Linked DNA regions of Arabidopsis thaliana. The protein of the gene in region 1 interacts with the protein of each later gene in a pairwise test. Each region holds a gene or a part of one and is shown in the gene's direction. Other genes may lie near its edges. The genes, in order: AT2G32840, AT4G01090, AT2G47710 and PUB14.

Evidence for each region.
Region 2: the proteins of AT2G32840 (region 1) and AT4G01090 interact in a two-hybrid assay, tested with the Arabidopsis thaliana proteins (one large-scale study listed by BioGRID).
Region 3: the proteins of AT2G32840 (region 1) and AT2G47710 interact in a two-hybrid assay, tested with the Arabidopsis thaliana proteins (one large-scale study listed by BioGRID).
Region 4: the proteins of AT2G32840 (region 1) and PUB14 interact in a two-hybrid assay, tested with the Arabidopsis thaliana proteins (one large-scale study listed by BioGRID).

What each region holds. Positions count from the first base shown.
Region 1 is NC_003071.7:13,932,323-13,936,864, reverse strand, and holds AT2G32840 (proline-rich family protein), read left to right. Parts: upstream 1-1,915; 5' UTR 1,916-2,028; coding exon 2,029-2,583; intron 2,584-2,826; coding exon 2,827-2,879; intron 2,880-2,969; coding exon 2,970-3,009; intron 3,010-3,106; coding exon 3,107-3,184; intron 3,185-3,287; coding exon 3,288-3,401; coding exon of another isoform or gene 3,402-3,437; exon of another isoform or gene 3,438-3,494; coding exon 3,495-3,574; intron 3,575-3,670; coding exon 3,671-3,764; 3' UTR 3,765-4,026; downstream 4,027-4,542. Other genes in the region: AT2G32850 (Protein kinase superfamily protein), read left to right, coding at 1-18, 98-191, 270-934, 1,031-1,417.
Region 2 is NC_003075.7:469,993-475,528, reverse strand, and holds AT4G01090 (hypothetical protein (DUF3133)), read left to right. Parts: upstream 1-1,649; 5' UTR 1,650-2,128; intron 2,129-2,241; 5' UTR 2,242-2,280; coding exon 2,281-4,082; intron 4,083-4,169; coding exon 4,170-4,230; intron 4,231-4,323; coding exon 4,324-4,547; intron 4,548-4,637; coding exon 4,638-4,695; 3' UTR 4,696-5,023; downstream 5,024-5,536.
Region 3 is NC_003071.7:19,554,178-19,557,793, reverse strand, and holds AT2G47710 (Adenine nucleotide alpha hydrolases-like superfamily protein), read left to right. Parts: upstream 1-1,667; 5' UTR 1,668-1,837; coding exon 1,838-2,021; intron 2,022-2,123; coding exon 2,124-2,218; intron 2,219-2,455; coding exon 2,456-2,577; intron 2,578-2,661; coding exon 2,662-2,749; 3' UTR 2,750-3,070; downstream 3,071-3,616. Other genes in the region: AT2G47720 (uncharacterized protein), read right to left, coding at 655-746, 1,044-1,170; RFI2 (RING/U-box superfamily protein), read left to right, coding at 3,443-3,616.
Region 4 is NC_003074.8:20,319,689-20,324,574, forward strand, and holds PUB14 (plant U-box 14), read left to right. Parts: upstream 1-1,664; 5' UTR 1,665-1,835; coding exon 1,836-2,117; intron 2,118-2,363; coding exon 2,364-2,480; intron 2,481-2,568; coding exon 2,569-2,982; intron 2,983-3,074; coding exon 3,075-4,160; 3' UTR 4,161-4,332; downstream 4,333-4,886. Other genes in the region: ARA6 (Ras-related small GTP-binding family protein), read left to right, coding at 1-6, 103-208, 522-611, 716-802, 1,053-1,094; ATVPS33 (Sec1/munc18-like (SM) proteins superfamily), read right to left, coding at 4,598-4,687, 4,780-4,873. UniProt on the Arabidopsis thaliana protein: Functions as an E3 ubiquitin ligase with specific E2 ubiquitin-conjugating enzymes. Undergoes auto-ubiquitination.

The sequences.
Region 1 (4,542 bases):
CGACCAGATATTACACAGGTTAAAAGTCAATTTTTACTCATTGTTTCTTCTCAGTTGAGGAAATGTAAAATGTCTCTAACAACATGTCCATCTACAGATTTGGTTTCGTGTCAATGAGCAGCTTCCTGCTAATTTACAGAAATCATTACCGGATCGACCACCTGAAATGCAATCTACTGGAGTCCATGATGGTATAGTGAATAAAACCTATTTTGGATAGCTTCTCAAAGAAAGATGTGATTTCTTTTGATCCTTATGAATTTTGACAGGCTCATCAAAATCAGCAACTAAACCTTCTCCAGCACCTCGTAGAAGTCCGCCACCGCCGCCACCATCTTCTGGAGAATCAGATAGTGGAGGACCGCTCGGTGCCTTTTGGGCGACTCAGCATGCTAAAACCTCAGTTGTATCAGAAGATAACAAAAACATGCCTAAATTTGATGAACCAAACAGTAACACATCTAAATCTGAAAGAGTTCGTGTGGATAGTCATCAACCCAAAAAACCAAGTCCTGTGAGAGGAGAGGCTCGTGGTATTCAAAGAAATAAAGATCTTGAAACTACGATTTCTCAGAAGAATACAACTCCTGCTGCAGCCAATAACATGACAAGAGTGTCCAAGGATGATGCCTTCAACTCGTTTGTTGCTGACTTTGATACCACAAAGTTCGATAATGGTAATAAACCTGGCAAAGAAGAGGCATTGGAAGCTGAGATACAGAGGTTAAAAGACGAGTTGAAGCAAACAAAATCAGAGAAGGCAGAAATAACTGCTAAGTTTGAAAAGCTTTCTGCTATCTGCAGATCGCAAAGGCAAGAGTTGCAGGATCTCAAACAAACACTTGCCTCTAAAAGTGCCTCACCGTCACCGAGCAGAGACTCTTCACAAAATCAACCCTCTCCAGGGATGCATTCCATGTCATCAACTCCATCGGTATTATTCTTGGTTCTTGTTCATCTAAGCTTAGACACCCATACAAAAGTCTTCATCAATGTATATCTTAGAATTCTAATGTTCTTGATGAAACAGAGAGATAAGATGGAAGGAACAATGTGGGAACTTCAACAGGACAGATCTAACTGGTCAACTGGCAGCTCTGATACAAATTCATGGCAACCTTTTAGTGATGAAGCGAAACCCGTGATGGAATCTGCATCAAAGGGTAACAATAATACGATTAATCAGTCTGTGAGAACCAGAAGTAAACCAGCTTCTGCTGCAGGTACTCAAGGTTTTGAGCCATGGGGTTTCGAGACAGAATCCTTTAGAGCCGCTGCAACGTCTGCAGCTGCTACTTCTGCATCTGGAACACAAAGATCTATGGGCTCTGGAAACAGCACTTCACAGAGATATGGGAACTCAAAGATGAGAGAAAACCAGAAAACAGCTCAACCTGCTGGATGGGCCGGCTTCTAAAACTCACTCAGATGCGCATTGCTATTTCTTCCTCATGCAACAACAACAGCTTCATGTTGCTGCCATTACAGAATCTTGAATCTTTTTGTAGATGATGATCATCCCCTGTTTTTGTGCTGCTGCTAAATATACCCCACCCATATCCATTATGTTTTATGTAGAGTCTTAAACTTTACACATTCTCTGAGCTGTGGCCAGATATCTCAGCTTATGGATTATTATTGGAAAAATAAATAATTCAAGATTCAGACAGCTTACACTTCTTTCTGTGAAACTTAGAACTAAGGTCACATTTAATACCGAACCCAACCATACGATGGCTGCATTATGGTTTAAATGTTACCCAAAAAGATTTCAGCCGTAACTAAATCAGCATTTTAAAATCCTGGATTAATTTTCGTTAATGTAAATCTCACATTGAACCGGACCCGAGTAGAAAAAAGTAAAAAACCGAACCAAAACATTAAATACCGAGCCCTAGTTTAGTTAGTTAGAAGGAACTTAAAAAGAGTTCGTGTCCTGAAAATCAAAGAAAAAGCTACCAAATTTTGAATCGTTGTCTTTAACTTGATTTTCCCCAAATTTCTCAGAAATCAAAATCCGCCGGAACAATGTCTACTCCCGATCCCAATCCCAATCCAAATCCAAATCCTTCCGTCTCTGTAGCAGTATCGACTCCAATCGTCACCGCATCTGAATCTCCGGTGACACAACCTAACACAGTCATAACGCCGTCGTCTCAACCTCAACCTCAAACACCAGCTTCGTCGTACAGAGCCATAGCTCCGCTTCATCGTCATCATCCTCATCAAAATATCTACACTAACCCTTTACCGATTAGGCGTTCGAATTCCGTTACTAATTCGCCTCATCAGCCTCCTCACCCAGACCCGTCTAGTCTGATATACCCGTTTGGTTCTTCGGGTCGAGGGTTTCCGACCCGACCCGTTAGACAGAATTCCAATTCCGTCGCTGATCCAGTTGGTAGTCCTAGTCCAGGTGGGTATACTCCTCGAGGGCCAGTTTACGGATACCACCATGGCCAATTCGTGTCGAATTTGGATCCAATGAATCAGTTCATGAGAGCTGCACATCCTCAGAATCAACAATCTCCTCAACTTGGTTCCGGTCATATGAAAGGAGTTCCTCATTTTTTGCAACCTCGGGTTAGTTATCGTTTTCGTTACCAAAACAAGTTTGAATCTTTTTGTTTAATTCCATAGTTTTGTCAAGTGTTTTTTTTGTAGCTTGTGCTAGTTAGTGAAAATGTGTATGTTGAAGTGAAGATTATTTGCTTTGGTGATTGTAGAATTCGAATAGCAATCTCTAATGAATTAGGAAAGGTTGAAACTTCTGTTAGATATTTGTGTGAGGTTACATTTTGTAAATTTTGGATTTTTGATTGTTAGGCTACTCCTTCTCCAACTTCAATTCTAGACAACAGTGGGCATAAGAAGGCCAGGTACTTTATCTTCTTTGCCATTATGCTTTGTTAATTAGAAACTACTCTAGAAACTTAATAATGTCTCTGTTTCGTTTCCATGGTGTTTAGGAGCCGGGATGATGCTCTGGTCCTCGTTAGAAAAAGAAAGGTATAGTTTTATCCTTGTTTTTTGGTTTTGCATTATCGTTCGAAACCGCTTGCTTCGCCATTTGAGGAATTTTAAATACTTTTTATTTGTTCTGCAGGTTAGAATAACCGAGGGAGCTTCTTTATACTCGCTGTGTCGATCTTGGTTGAGAAATGGTGCTCATGAGGGAATTAAGGTTCGTATCCATTTCTTATTTCTGCTTTGTAGTATAATGCAACACTTGGATTTTTGTATATCTATTCTTGATATCTTTGGAAGATTAATGACGTTGTTTACAGCCGCAGCGAATTGATATGATGACATGTTTGCCAAAGCCTTTACCTGTGGACAAGACGGAGACAAGTTTGCCAAAAGATTTAGTTGAAGAAGCAATTTGCGAAGAAGACAAAGAGGTTTCGTGTTTCTCTGATTTCTTTCTAAAATGGTAATTGTGAAGGGTAAAGCTAAGTTTGATTATTTACTTCAACTCTCTTGATGAGCTTCAGGACGAGGAATCTGTGAAACATTTGTCAGAATCTGATCTTTTGAAAAGACATATAGACCGAGCTAAGAAGGTCCGCGCTCGGTGAGTCCCACAACATATCATCAAAGCTAAGTTCGATGGTTGAAGATTGAATATTTTTTGTTTTGAACAAAATTGTGTGGTTTGTTTTGTTTGCAGATTGAGAGAAGAACGGTTAAAGAGAATCGCGAGGTACAAGGCAAGATTGGCTCTTCTTCTGCCACCCTTTGGAGAGCAATGCAGGAACGAGTAATGATTTTAAAGTTAGGGACTTCGGTGTGAATATACTTGCAGTTGATTTAGAAATGACATAAATTATCTTAGAGCCAGAGTTATGTCTTATGTCTGTGTGTAATATAAGAAAGATTTTCTCTGAATTTTCGTCATACACTCGTATTAGATGATTCTAAACTAATCAACAATCTCAAGATTTTCTGAGATGGTTAACTTATATAGCTCTTATCTTTTTTTTTTTTCAAGAACACCTAGTAGTTCTTGGACAAGTAAAATTTTCAATATAGTATTCGGTCATGGTGGGTCGACCATGTTTTGAACGCTGGATCGATCATCATGTGGTCGGACGATCATAATTTCAGAGATTGATCGACCATCCTTGGAAGCACGAACACATTTAGTCATGTGTTTGAATTTTCTTTTATCTTATTTGTTTCCAACTCCCAAATGATACGAAATGTCACAAAAACTCTTAAAATCACTACATAATCTAAGACTTCCTAAGACACAAATACTCCTATGGACATTAAAACAAGATTTTATCAACAGTGAAGCCATATTATCATCACTGTAGTTCTGAAAATGCCATATTGCCCAAAGTCTTTTCTAGCTAGTATGCCATAGTGGCTAACATCTTCTTCTTTCTTTTCATCTCTCTAAATAAGCAAAAAATTGAGAGGCTTTCTCTTCCTCTTCTATTCCTCTCCAACATAGTATTCATTCTCTCCTCATCTCATCTCTTGTTTCTTTTCAGCCGGAGCTTGTGCCGATGGTTCTACGTCGATCTCACTCTCTCA
Region 2 (5,536 bases), on another chromosome or scaffold:
TCCCAAAAATGCAATGTTAATATTTTTGTCAAATCTGATTGGTGTTGGAAAGTGGACTATCTATAAATCCATCTTTAAATGATAGACAGAGACACAGAGTAGAAGACTTTACAGCTGTACGTAGCTTTTTGTATAAACCACAAAAATAGTCAGAAGGCGACCTACACTATGTGATCATATAACACTCCCCATATATCTTTCAAGTCTTCGTTTACGAGGTTAATATTTTTCAACGTTTAGGATCCAGGTTTCTTTTAGATTCAAGTTGTGAATTAGAAAACAAACAAAAGAAGAAGTTTTGAGAGCACGTCTTCTAACATGGAAGCATTAAACTTGACGTATTTTTATGGACTATATTAATCGATATGCTGGGAGGATGATGAAAAAATAAAGAATTTATATATAAATATTAGTTATTTAGGTAAGTATGAAAGATAAATAATATATAAACCAAAAAATTTTTTTTAAAAAAATTAATTACAAAAATGCTATTGAATAAAAATAATTGTAATATTCGGATGATAAGTATATAATTATTTGTTTAATGTTTTAAAAACTATGATATCGCGATAAGTTTATAAATTATTTGTTAAAACATATTTATCGATTTAAAATTGTAAATCAGAATTTTTTATTTATGTATATTCAGCACAATAAAAGGAAATTAGACTTTTTTATATAATTAACATGATAATAATTATAACTACATGATATATAGAATGATAACATGCTAATATATTATATAACAGAATAATATTTATATGAAAACGTTAAGATATTCGATACATGAATAATGTTTACTGTAACGGATAATTTATACATAATATTTACTAATAATTGTTAACGAGGTTAACCTGATGATAACAATGAAAATATTTAGTAACAAAACAATATATGAGACTTTAATTAAAAAAAAGAAAAATACAGAAGAATAATAAAGTAACTTCATTAGTTCTTTTACTGTTGAAATAGTCCACAATTCCTACACCTAATTTTTCAGTCTTCTGAGCATATAAAGTGATATTTTCCTATTTTTATTTACTTTTTAATTGTATTATAATAATATTTGGGTATTTTTGGTTATTATAATAATATCTGAAAATATTATTGATATTTTTGGTTATTTTTATATTTTTACTAAAACAACCGAACCGATCCGAATCCGAACCAAAATCGAACCAAGTTTTTAGAATATCTGAATGGTTCTCAACCTCTTCATATCCGAATAGATTTGATATCCAAAAAAGAACCAAACAGATAGGGATACCCGAATGACCAGACCTAGTATTATTGATATAAAAAAGGTTGCTCAATGTATAATTTCATTTGACTAGCTGGTCTGTTTTCGTACAAACACACTCACAAAAGTACGAAAATAGGAAGTCGTCTTAGTTTTAGAAAATAACTATTGCTGCTTATTGGCATATATTGAAAAATCAAATACTACTAGTAATCGTAAGTTCTAAATTTGAATGTTTTTTTCCCGAGTAATTGAATTGTTCTTAGTAATTAAGTTCACAAATTTGGAAAATTGCGATATCTGAGAACGTATTAATTTACCTGTCGGTAAACAGTCACACTCATGTTTCTAGATTTCGTATATTTTAGTAATAATTTGGTTAGTCTCCTTATCTGCGAGTCAACGAGACCCGGTCCGCTCAACCGTACTACAGTCTAAATTCTAGTTTCACGCGCTTACTTACATTACATACGCGCTCATCTCTTCTTTACTCAAAAGTTTTAAAAAACGAATATCAAATCAACGCTAACAAAGTTTGATTTTTTGCTTCCATCTTCTTCCCCTCCTTAAGTTTTCAAATCTATTCATCAAATTTTCTTTTGTCTTTCCCTTAAGATTCCCGGGAAAGCCAAGGAAAAACGCTAGAAGAAAATTAACATAATAATGTTAATTGTTGCTTAAACCTTCCAGCTCAAGTTTGGTAGTAAGTAAGCAGACATTTAATCCCCCAAGAAGCAATTGAAGAAGACTTTTAATTCTTCTGAATTTTCTTTCCAAAAACCCCTTTTTAGAAAATTGGTTGCATCATAGAGATTGGTTCATTTATTCCCACCGGAGAAGATCATCAAATTCGTCTTCTCACCTATATCGCCGACGACATTCTTCACGGTTCGTTTGATTTCTACCTGTTGGTTCTTCGTTTTATCTGAATTCAATCGGAGATATATGTTTTTGAGTTCGAATTTGATAAAAAATCGAAACTTTTTTGATTTGAATCGCAGTTGGAAAAAAACAAAGCAAAACCCTAGAAATAGTGGCTGATGAGGTCGCGAGGCGATGTCTCTGAAGCAGAAGGTACGAGATCAGATGCTGGTTCTTCAAGAAGCGAAGAAGAAACGAGTCTGAAGGAGAAACACTCAAATTCGCGAGCTGGGTCTCAAAGATCTGGAAAAAGCTTGAGAAATGACGAGCCTAATTACGGATCAGATTCTTCATCTAAGAACACAAGCAGCAGCAACAACCCTATTGAGTATACAGAGCATGAACGAGCTGAGCTTTTAAGAAGGTTAGATTCTATCAAAGATCATCTACTTCGCGGTGGTGGTGGTGGTAATAATGTAGTTGATAAACCTAAAGAACCAGATCAGAATCAGCCTTTCCTTAGACCAGTTCATCTTCATGGTCATGCTAATCATAATCCTGGTCCTTCTTATTACCATCAGTATCCAGAACCTATTCAATACCCTGGACCGGTTCATGGAATGTATCCTCAAGCTTATCAAGATCCTTATGGGTACCAAAGAAGACCACCTCCAGTTCCTAATCCAAACTGGTATCCTCCTGGTCATTACCCTAATCAGATGGCTCGTCAGTATCCTGGAGGTCAATATGTTGAACTTGGTCCTGATATAGTTGAGCCACATTCTTACTATCCAGCTACTCCTGGTAGGTACGGTGACCTGCCTCCGTATAGCCCGGTTTCGTCTCACCATCGTGAAGAGAAACTCGCTACACAGTACAGTGATATGCCTCCGTATAGCCCGGTTTCGTCTCACCATCGTGGCGAGAAACTCACGACACCGTATAGTCCACGTGTTAATAACGGTTCGAGTTTTCCTTCTTCGATGGGCACTCCAGGTCCTCGAGGTGGTTATGCAAGGTGGCCGAGTGAACATGATTCTGAAATGGGCGGTGCTTTTGCTCGTGGGTATGTTAAGAAAGCTGTATCGGATACTGGTGTTCGACGTTGTCATCCTCTTGCTGGTGGTGCTCCTTTTATAGCTTGTCATAGTTGCTTTGAGCTGCTTTACTTGCCTAAGAAGAAGCTTTTGTCTCAGGAAAGGTTACATAAGCTGCAGTGCGGTGCTTGTTCTGAAGTTATTAGTTTCACAATCGTTGATAGGAAACTCGTTTTCTCTTCTGGTAATGAGGAAACAAAACCGGTCTCTCTAGAGGTTGAAGATAGAAACACAACAAACACAGTAGTGATAGAGGAGGAAGTCTCTTCTGTTGATTTCAACAGCTCAGGTAGAGATATTCCACGTAAGGATGAAGAAGAACCAGTGCAAGAACTGAGAAATCATCAGGATACTATTACTACGCAAAGCGTCCGCTCTGAATCTCAACACTCAGATGATGAAGAAAGATCGAGCAATTCTAGTGAACAACAACAGAAGGAGGTCAAATCTGTTCGTCGGCGAGGTAAAGGGTCAAAAGCACCTGAACCCGCTGCTCCTGATAATGCCAGTCTCCTTGAACTTTTTGAGTATTCTAATGTAAACAGAGCTGCACTCGCTTATGGAATGGCGCAGTTAGGTTATGAAAAGCCAGATAAGCAAAAGTCTTTCATGACACAGGACTCGCTGAAACCAGAATCAGTAGCTACAGAGACAGAGGTTTCTTACAATGGATACTCTAACACCGAGATCTCAGAAGATTCAAGGTACTCAAACAGAAAGGGTAGTGAGTACGGTTCGACAGAGATCACAACGAGGTCCTCTACTGATCAAAACGAAGACCAGATGAAGTCATTAGAGGTTTGGGTTAATGGACATCTTATACCAGAAGATCTTGTTAGCAGTGCTGAGAAATTAGCTGGACCAATCCAAGCTGGAAAGTATTGGTACTTCCATGAACTTCAGCATCCACTGTTTCTCTCTTGTTTTTGTTTTTCCCTTTACTCAGTTTCTGATACATGTCTCTGATTCAGGTATGATTACCGAGCTGGGTTCTGGGGAGTGATGGGCAAACCGTGTCTCGGTATAATACCTGTAAGTACCTTCACATTGTTCTCTCAAGTTGATTATTGGAATGGTGTCATCAAATTGATGAAGAAATGGTTGACTTACTTGTTGTTGTTGCAGCCATTTATTGAAGAGTTTAGCCATCCAATGCTGGATAACTGCGCTGCAGGAAACACAGACGTGTTTGTGAATGGAAGAGAGCTTCACAAGAGAGATTTCGAGTTACTTGTGGGTCGTGGTCTGCCTAGAGACAAGAACCGTTCTTACATTGTTGATATATCAGGAAGAATCCTTGATCAAGATTCAGGAGAAGAACTTCACAGCCTTGGCAAATTAGCCCCAACGTAAGCAGATTCACACAAATGATTTTTATTCTTTTGAGATTTTGAGATCACCTAAGATTCTAAAGTTTTAGTGTGTTAAACTTGAAACAGGATTGAGAAAGTGAAGCATGGATTTGGTATGAGAGTTCCAAGATCATTAGCTTCATGAAAACTCCCCCTAGTAACAACTACACAACCAAAATATGATTCTGCTTCTTGTTTCCATCTTCATATTATTTATTTGTTAAACACAACTGTAAAGTGTTTTTTACATCTTGATTTTGATTTTTGGTATTCTTTTTAAAATATCTTTGGGGAAATGTCTGTATGTTTTTTATTGCGACCAGAACCGGTTTAGGGGTTATAGACTGTATACAAACCGGGTTCTCTCGGTACAAGGTTTGTGCTTTGTATTATTTCCATTTTTTTATGGAATGATATTAGTTTGCTCTTAATGACTTTTTTTTTTATCTCTTTTATTGCTCTTTTGTAAGTTGTAACAGAAGCTTCATCGATAACATGGTTTACTCCTCCTAATTCCTTATTATCTCTGGTTTAACTAAATCGTTTATTTAAACCGGTTTTGGTTTGTAGGTTTCTTTCATGTCAGCAACAATATATGTAGGTCATTCGACCATACTCAACAATTCAATTAAACAATGTTCTCCTAGCTGATCTTTCTTTCTTCATGATTAGCTTCTAGGCTTGATTTGCCCTTTCCTCGAGTTCTAGGTGAATTATGGATTGGGATTATCTATCTATCGGTTAGTTATCCGGTTTCATCTTTCTTTCCACTAAAATGTTCATATTGTCTGCTAATTCCTCTCTTGGCTGATGGACTAGTTTTTGCACGTTTCTGAAGTGGGTCCTTCCTAAAATACAAGACAACAGATTATAACTTACTCATGGGCCCAATATCAATATCAATATCAAACAAGAAAGAGAATCTGTTCTTAACAGGCCTCGTGGTCCGTTCGTTTAGTTTTCATGTTTCAATATTTCTTAGAAAA
Region 3 (3,616 bases), 5.6 Mb from region 1:
TCAAAAGAAAAGACTTTTTACGTGTAAACGTATCATTCGATATTAAACTACTCCCAAAACAAATAATTTAAGGACATGTACAGACAAAGCCCACCTGTTTTTATTAATTTTCTAAAACCCATAACACCTTTTGACCAACTAACTCTCAATCCAATTCAACAGGAGAAGAAGGATCAATAACAATAACAATAATCAATCCCCTTATGTTATAACTAAATCTAGTTGCTGGAAACAGAACCATCTCCCTCCTCATCAGATTTTTGCATTACCATCTACAATTTGGAAACAGTTATATGGTGATTATATACATGTCAAGAATTCAGAAACAAACACTTGAACTTTCATTATCACTCTCTTCATATGCAATTTTACTCTTGTAATGTTGACCTTTCTTTTTGTTGTTTTTTTCAGAAAAATATATATGCAAAATAGTATTCTCAATATGAGATCCAACGTAATTAACTAAATAATCATTAAGTGATTAGTGGTTCAACATTTACATATATACATACTCTCTCTTCTTGCCTCGAGATTGACCGACAATTCCATAACTAACCGGAAACCACATATGTTACCAAAGACACAAGCCTAAAATCCAGAATCTCAACAAGATTAATATATATAAAGGAAGTAAGAGAATGCTGACTTGTTGTTTCAAAACACAGAAGGCGGCTTCAGACAGTTATGATACTCGAGCTGAGACATCTCTCCTCCGTGTACTGGATCAAAACTGGCCTTTGTAGAAGCTGCAAAACACCCAAAAATCAAACAAAGCTGCTGATCCGACTTGTAGGACATTATTAAGGTTAGGGTATGGTTCTCTTACCTCCCATCCATCCCAAGAATCTGTGTTCTTCTCATGTCCAAATGCCACTATGTATTAAGATCCTTCGACCAACCGGAACTGAGCCACTGACAACTCTGAGCTGAAATACTTTGGTAACACTCCTATATGGACAAAGAGCAAGGTTTGATGATAGATAAGAATGATGACGTCTCAAAATGCTACGGAGAAACTGGTTTGGGGTTTAAGGTATATGTACCTCTGAGTAATGATAGAGATGATGACGGTGATAAAGCAGCATGAATTGCATCAGGTGCCTTTCGGGATGTGTCCTTCCCTGGAGATCCAGAATTGATTTTCAGACCGACAACATGAACAGTGGCCATGGGAATCTGAAGATTCTGGAGAAATCTGAAATCAGATAAAAAAAGGTAAAGAGTAGCGTCAAGACGAAGAAGAATATAACTAAAAGCAATTTGGTTAGAGAGGTTTCTGTCGCACTCCTGCTTTTGCTTCACGTCGTCATATTATTCTACAGCCGGCCGTCTCATTTTTATTTTGTAATTGTTATCATCTGAGCCGGATTTTACCCAACTCAAATCATTCCACTATTTGAAATTAGATTTTTCTTGTAATAGTTAATTTCCAAGTAAAATCGAAAGTTATCAAACCAATTCATATCAGTTTGTTACTAAAAAGCTAATAACTGTTAACCTGCAAAATCCTTTTATGTACTTTGTTTTATGGGTAATATTCAAATTAGAATAAATTTTGTGTAAAATCTGTGGGTTCTTCTTATTTAAAATCTGTGGGTAACTTTAAATATTGGGAAATTTACTAATGGAAAGGCATAAAGAAATGAGGACCAGCCACGTCATCAAATCAAAGTATCACATTCCTCTTTTCTTTTTATTTAAAGAAATTAAATAATAGAAGAAGAAGATACCAAAACTCTCTTTTTCTGTGCAAACACTTTGGAGGATTCTTCTAGGCTTCTTTCTACCACAAACACAAGAGCGCGTTTTCTTCACGCCGGCGAACAACGTCAGAGTCATGGCCACCGGAGATGGGAAATCGGTGATGGTCGTCGGAGTTGACGACAGCGAGCAGAGCACTTACGCCTTGGAGTGGACGCTCGATCGTTTCTTCGCTCCTTACGCTCCCAATTATCCTTTTAAGCTCTTCATCGTCCACGCCAAACCTAACGCCGTCTCCGCCGTTGGTCTCGCTGGTCCCGGTACGCTCTTTGCTTTCACTCTCGAATCTACTCTTCTAGGGGTTCTGTTTTGGGCAGCGATGGGGAGAGATCATTTAGGTTTTGTTAATCTGTGTGTTTTAGGAACTGCGGAGGTTGTACCTTATGTTGATGCTGATCTGAAGCATACCGCTGCTAAGGTTGTCGAGAAAGCCAAAGCAATTTGTCAGAGCAGATCGGTACGATCTTGCTATTATCAAACATTCAAATTCGTTTTATGTGTTTCTTGGATTTTATAATCGTCATCATGTGTTGTATTGGACTCTATTAGATGAGTTTGGTAATGTGAATGTGAATCTCTAGCACATTTAAGAGCTTCAAGCTAAGTAGCACTGGTTTTTCTTATAGTAACTATCTATCTTTGGTTAGCAACTATCTTCTTCTTTTCAATCATCATTCCTAGGTTTGTTGTGTAGGTTCATGGCGCGGTGATCGAAGTTTTCGAAGGTGATGCAAGGAATATCCTATGTGAAGTTGTAGATAAGCATCATGCTTCTATTCTTGTTGTGGGAAGCCATGGATATGGAGCTATCAAGAGGTATTATTTCATTCAGCCTTAATTCTTATGATCAATCTTTCAACTATACACCCATTCTGATTCACTTGTCGGTTTGTGTGGCAGGGCGGTTCTCGGGAGTACGAGTGACTACTGCGCTCATCATGCTCATTGCTCGGTGATGATCGTGAAGAAGCCTAAGATCAAGGTCTGAAACCTAAGGGAAGGCTACTCGGTCAAAGCAAAGTCTCTGCATAGTCTTCTAATTCAGAAGAATAAAGTGAAATAATATTAGCTTGATGTGAAACAACGATTCAAGACAATATACATTTGCATCTATATGTGTAATTGTTTACTACATACAATGTTTTGGTATCCTTAGACAATCAATATTCGTGTGTTATAATATGCTAATCTTTCTCATAACAAAATGGATGTGAAAGTTATAATAAACTTCATATGAAAGAGACTAGAGAAGAAAACAAATCAACTAAATAGAGATTAATGATTTAAATGAACAAATTTATAGTTTGGTTGTTGGTTCAGATGGATGGATGGTTTGATGATCATCTATCCAAAACTAAAGTAATAAAATAATAATAAAAAATTATCCACAATGGGAGAGGAAAGAAAAGAAAAGGGAGAGTCCAATGTCATTGTCCGGTTTTGAACCACGTCATCTCTAACAGGTCGGACGAGAGAGAGAGAGAGAGAGAGAGGAAGAGGAAGGATAGATTTACCGCATCGGCGTTCCAAAAGGCAGACGAACTCGGAGAGACAGATAGCGATAGCGAGACATGGTTTCTCATTGATTTTTGTTTGACAATCCTTTCTTTTCTTTTTTTTTGTTCTTTCGAAAAACGAAAATTTTCGTTGGTTCCCTCCGATTTGGCCTGCTGGTGAAGATATGGCCGGAGCTAAAGATTCGGGTTGCGATGATGATCTCCGAATTGCTGGTGGATGTGACCCTGGAAAACGCGGGAACCCGGAGGATTCCTCGTCTCCTGTCGAAGTCTCGTGCTCGATTTGCCTCGAATCGGTGCTCGATGATGGTACCAGATCCAAGGCTAAGCTCCAATGT
Region 4 (4,886 bases), on another chromosome or scaffold:
GGAGAGGTATTAAACCCTTCATGCAGATTTGTATTGCTTATTTTATTAGATAAACGCTTTGCAAACTTACTAGGATTTAACCTGCATTCACTTTATTTTTAGGTATTCTGCTCTTGCACCACTATACTACCGTGGAGCTGGAGTTGCTGTTATTGTGTATGATATAACAAGCCCTGAATCGTTCAAGAAAGCACAGTATTGGGTTAAGGTATGTTTTCAGGGGGTTCAAAAGGTTCCATTTCGTTCATGTTTCTAGGATTCGTGCAATAGCTTCCGAGCTATATCTTTACCAGGACTGAAAATTAGAGTTACAGACAGTCATATAGCCAACAGCACTCCTGTCTGTGTATATAATGGGTATCATTTAGTTGGGCAACTGGTTTACTTCTCTGACATTTTTGTTCCATTAATTTGCACTCGTTGCTACCATGAAGCCATTTGGCACAACTCCGTGCAGGAAAGATATCAACATTATATTGAATCTAGTGCTATTGTTTTACCCCTGCCCATAAATCTAACAGGAACTGCAAAAGCATGGAAGCCCAGATATTGTTATGGCTCTGGTTGGTAACAAAGCTGATCTACATGAAAAAAGAGAAGTACCTACTGAGGTGAGTTTGCGTAAACGTCTTCATCTAGATTCCGTAGCGCATTTTGTTGTCACTTTCATTGTCCTTGCTTCTTCAGTGGTATCACATTTTCAATTTCTTAACAGGATGGAATGGAGCTTGCAGAGAAGAACGGCATGTTCTTCATTGAGACGTCAGCCAAGACAGCCGATAACATAAATCAACTGTTTGAGGTGTGCACTTCTTTCTTGCCTCTGATTTATGATCGATTTTCTTGTCCTCTGCATTTATTGAGATCTTATTATCCGTTTCTTTCATTGCTTTGGAATTGGAGGATGGAAAAGTGATAGGCAGTGATATGCAGCTAGATATGAGATTTAATTTCTTGTAGTTTGTGGAGGATAATAGTTTTGGATGCAGAAAGATGGATTAATACGAAGTATATGAGATTTTAACTTGTTGTAGTGTACACATGTCTGATAGGAAATTGGCAAGAGGCTACCTCGTCCTGCTCCTTCGTCATGATTGGAGTGTTGAATCATCTCATCTTCAGCCATGTCTTCAGACTACTAATCTTTCCATACTTTTTAATGTAATGTTTCAAAACAATATTTCTCTATCTGTTAAGTCAAGTGTGTTGTATAATGTGAAGATTTGAGTTTGAAACTGGGGATATTACGAACCTCAAAAGTGGAAACCCAAGTTATATCAAGCAATGGATCATCAGTACATATTTTAGTGGGATTCATCAGAAGTAGAGAAGAGTAAAGCTTCATTCAAATGATTCAATGCATGTATAGTTTGTGGGAGAGACTATTGCAGCCAATTCTAACAAAACCTAAATCAAGAAATTATTTGACAATTTCAAAGAGACTAACAAACAGGTAGAGAAATCCATTATACAAAGGATTTGACTTTTGATGATTTCAGATGCAAATACAAACTTAAAAACTTTATATATTTGTATTGGTCAACCTTAATATCATAAATTTATAGTTGAGGCAATAAATAAATATGAAAATCTAAATGCAATGTTTAAATATTAAAATTTAACGGCAAAATAAAATAGAAAAAATTATGATTGGTCTGAAAATGGACAAAATGAGACTTTTCATGTCCAAATAGGTGTTTATTGTCACGTTGATGAGAAGACTATTTCGTTCCATAGCATTTCTGTTCCTCCTCTTGGTTTTTTGGGTTTCTTCTTCCTCGTCTTGGTTTCGTTAAAACCCTTTTGAAGCCCTCTGGAACAGTAAAATCTGAGGGATGGGATTAACGAATTGTTGTTCCCACGAGGAGCTAATGAGTCGACTCGTTGACTCCGTTAAAGAAATATCAGGGTTTTCATCTTCAAGGGGTTTTATTGGGAAGATCCAAGGCGATCTTGTTCGTAGGATCACGCTTCTCAGCCCTTTCTTCGAGGAATTGATTGACGTCAATGTTGAATTGAAAAAGGATCAGATTACAGGGTTTGAGGCTATGAGAATCGCTCTTGATTCAAGTCTTGAGCTTTTTCGATCGGTTAATGGAGGAAGCAAGCTTTTTCAGGTTACTCATTTACTTGCTCTGTTTTATTTGTATTTATATCTTTGGTAGCTGGCAAAAGTTGGCAATTTCCTTTGTTTTCTCTTCGAGGGTTTAAGATTTTGGTGTTTAGGGTTTTGTTGTTTGTCTTTGTCTTCTTTAACAATATCAAGAATTTGGGTTTTGTCTTGTTTCTCTTATTTTGGGATGAATCAAATTGAGTCTGATAACAAGAAGTTGAGACCTTTTTCGTGTTCTCTCTGCTGGCAGCTTTTCGATAGAGATTCTCTTGTGGAGAAGTTCCGTGACATGACAGTGGAGATAGAAGCAGCGTTAAGTCAGATTCCTTATGAGAAGATTGAGGTATCAGAGGAAGTCAGAGAACAGGTACTTCTCAATGCATTGATTTAAGGAGGGCTATATTTTTCTGTTGATTAAAATCTGAATTCTAATGATAAGCTCTCTGAATTTGTAGGTTCAGCTTCTGCATTTTCAGTTCAAGAGAGCAAAAGAAAGATGGGAGGAGTCTGATCTACAGCTTAGCCATGATCTAGCTATGGCAGAGAATGTGATGGATCCTGACCCTATAATCCTCAAAAGACTTTCACAAGAGCTCCAACTTACTACCATTGATGAGCTGAAGAAAGAATCGCATGCGATACATGAGTATTTTCTTTCATATGATGGAGATCCTGATGACTGTTTCGAGAGGATGTCTTCACTTCTTAAAAACCTGGTAGACTTTGTAACAATGGAAAGTTCAGACCCTGATCCATCCACTGGCAGCAGAATCGTTTCGAGACATCGTTCTCCTGTTATACCAGAGTATTTTCGGTGTCCGATATCACTTGAACTGATGAAGGATCCTGTTATCGTCTCCACTGGACAGGTCTGGCTTTGCAAGTTTCGTTGTGCATTGTAGTGAATTTGATTATTAAACTTGTGTATTTGTTGTTATAGCTGAATTTTTCGACCTTGCAGACATATGAAAGATCATCAATTCAGAAGTGGCTTGATGCTGGTCATAAAACATGTCCGAAATCTCAGGAGACACTTTTACATGCTGGATTAACCCCTAATTATGTGTTAAAGAGTCTCATTGCTTTGTGGTGTGAAAGCAACGGCATTGAGCTACCGCAAAATCAAGGGAGCTGTAGAACCACAAAAATAGGAGGAAGCAGCTCTTCAGATTGTGATCGAACATTTGTCCTTTCCTTGTTAGAGAAATTGGCCAACGGTACTACAGAACAGCAAAGAGCTGCAGCTGGAGAATTAAGGTTACTAGCCAAGAGGAACGTGGATAACAGAGTTTGTATCGCTGAGGCTGGAGCCATACCACTCCTTGTAGAGCTTCTATCCTCACCAGATCCTCGGACTCAGGAACATTCTGTGACAGCTCTTCTGAATCTTTCCATAAATGAAGGGAACAAAGGAGCCATTGTTGATGCAGGAGCCATAACGGATATAGTAGAAGTCCTAAAGAACGGAAGCATGGAAGCTAGAGAGAACGCTGCTGCAACCCTTTTCAGTTTATCTGTTATAGATGAAAACAAAGTGGCAATAGGTGCTGCTGGAGCTATCCAAGCACTTATAAGCTTGCTTGAGGAAGGAACCCGAAGAGGCAAAAAAGATGCTGCTACAGCGATTTTCAACTTATGCATATACCAGGGGAACAAATCAAGGGCGGTTAAAGGCGGTATTGTTGACCCTCTGACCAGATTACTGAAAGATGCAGGTGGCGGAATGGTGGATGAGGCTCTGGCCATTTTAGCAATTCTTTCAACTAACCAAGAAGGGAAAACAGCGATAGCTGAAGCAGAATCTATCCCGGTTTTGGTTGAGATTATAAGGACAGGGTCACCAAGGAACCGGGAAAATGCTGCAGCAATACTTTGGTATCTATGTATTGGGAATATAGAAAGGCTAAATGTAGCAAGAGAGGTTGGTGCAGATGTGGCCTTGAAGGAACTTACTGAGAATGGCACTGATAGAGCAAAGAGGAAAGCTGCGAGCTTGTTGGAGCTTATTCAGCAAACCGAAGGTGTTGCAGTAACTACTGTTCCATGAAAGCCTCGCTCTTTTGGAATGTTATTTGTTTCAGTGTAGATTATATGTATAGGAACCTTTGGTTTGAGTCTGACATAAGAATCTTATGTAATGATGTTATATGTAATTTTCGACTCAGAGTTGTGTATATCTATTTGATATTTAAAAGTAAAAGTAACCCTATTATTTACTGTTTCACACTCTCGATTTGCTTGAGAATTAGGGAGAAGTAAAGCCGTATATAACTAGCAGAAGTTGAAGTGAAAGGTTGTACCAAGAAAACATTATTGAATTTGTATAATCACGCTGTATCTCAACCATTTAATATACACATACACATACGCATACCATTCACTCTGCAACCACAATGATCCAGAAAAATAAACAAAGACATACAAAAAATGAATTAATAAACACACTCGAAAGAGAAAAGATGAACATAACGCTCAGTTTACGGATCAGCCTAGTTTTTCCATGAATGTTTCTATCAACGTTGCGCCGTTGACGATTTTTGTTGTGGCAACAATCAAATCATAAGCCATTCCTTCCTGATAAAATTTTATGCAGAAGCAAGAATGGAGGATTCAGCGGACAAAAAGAGTGTTTTTTTTATGGTAAACTTTTGAAGTTTGATATATACCTTAGAGGCGAGATACCGTAAAGCAGAGATTTCAGCAAATGTTACACCTCCAATGAAGACAACAAGAACAATTGAGCGTCTTCCATCAGCAACCCTGTAATCATGTC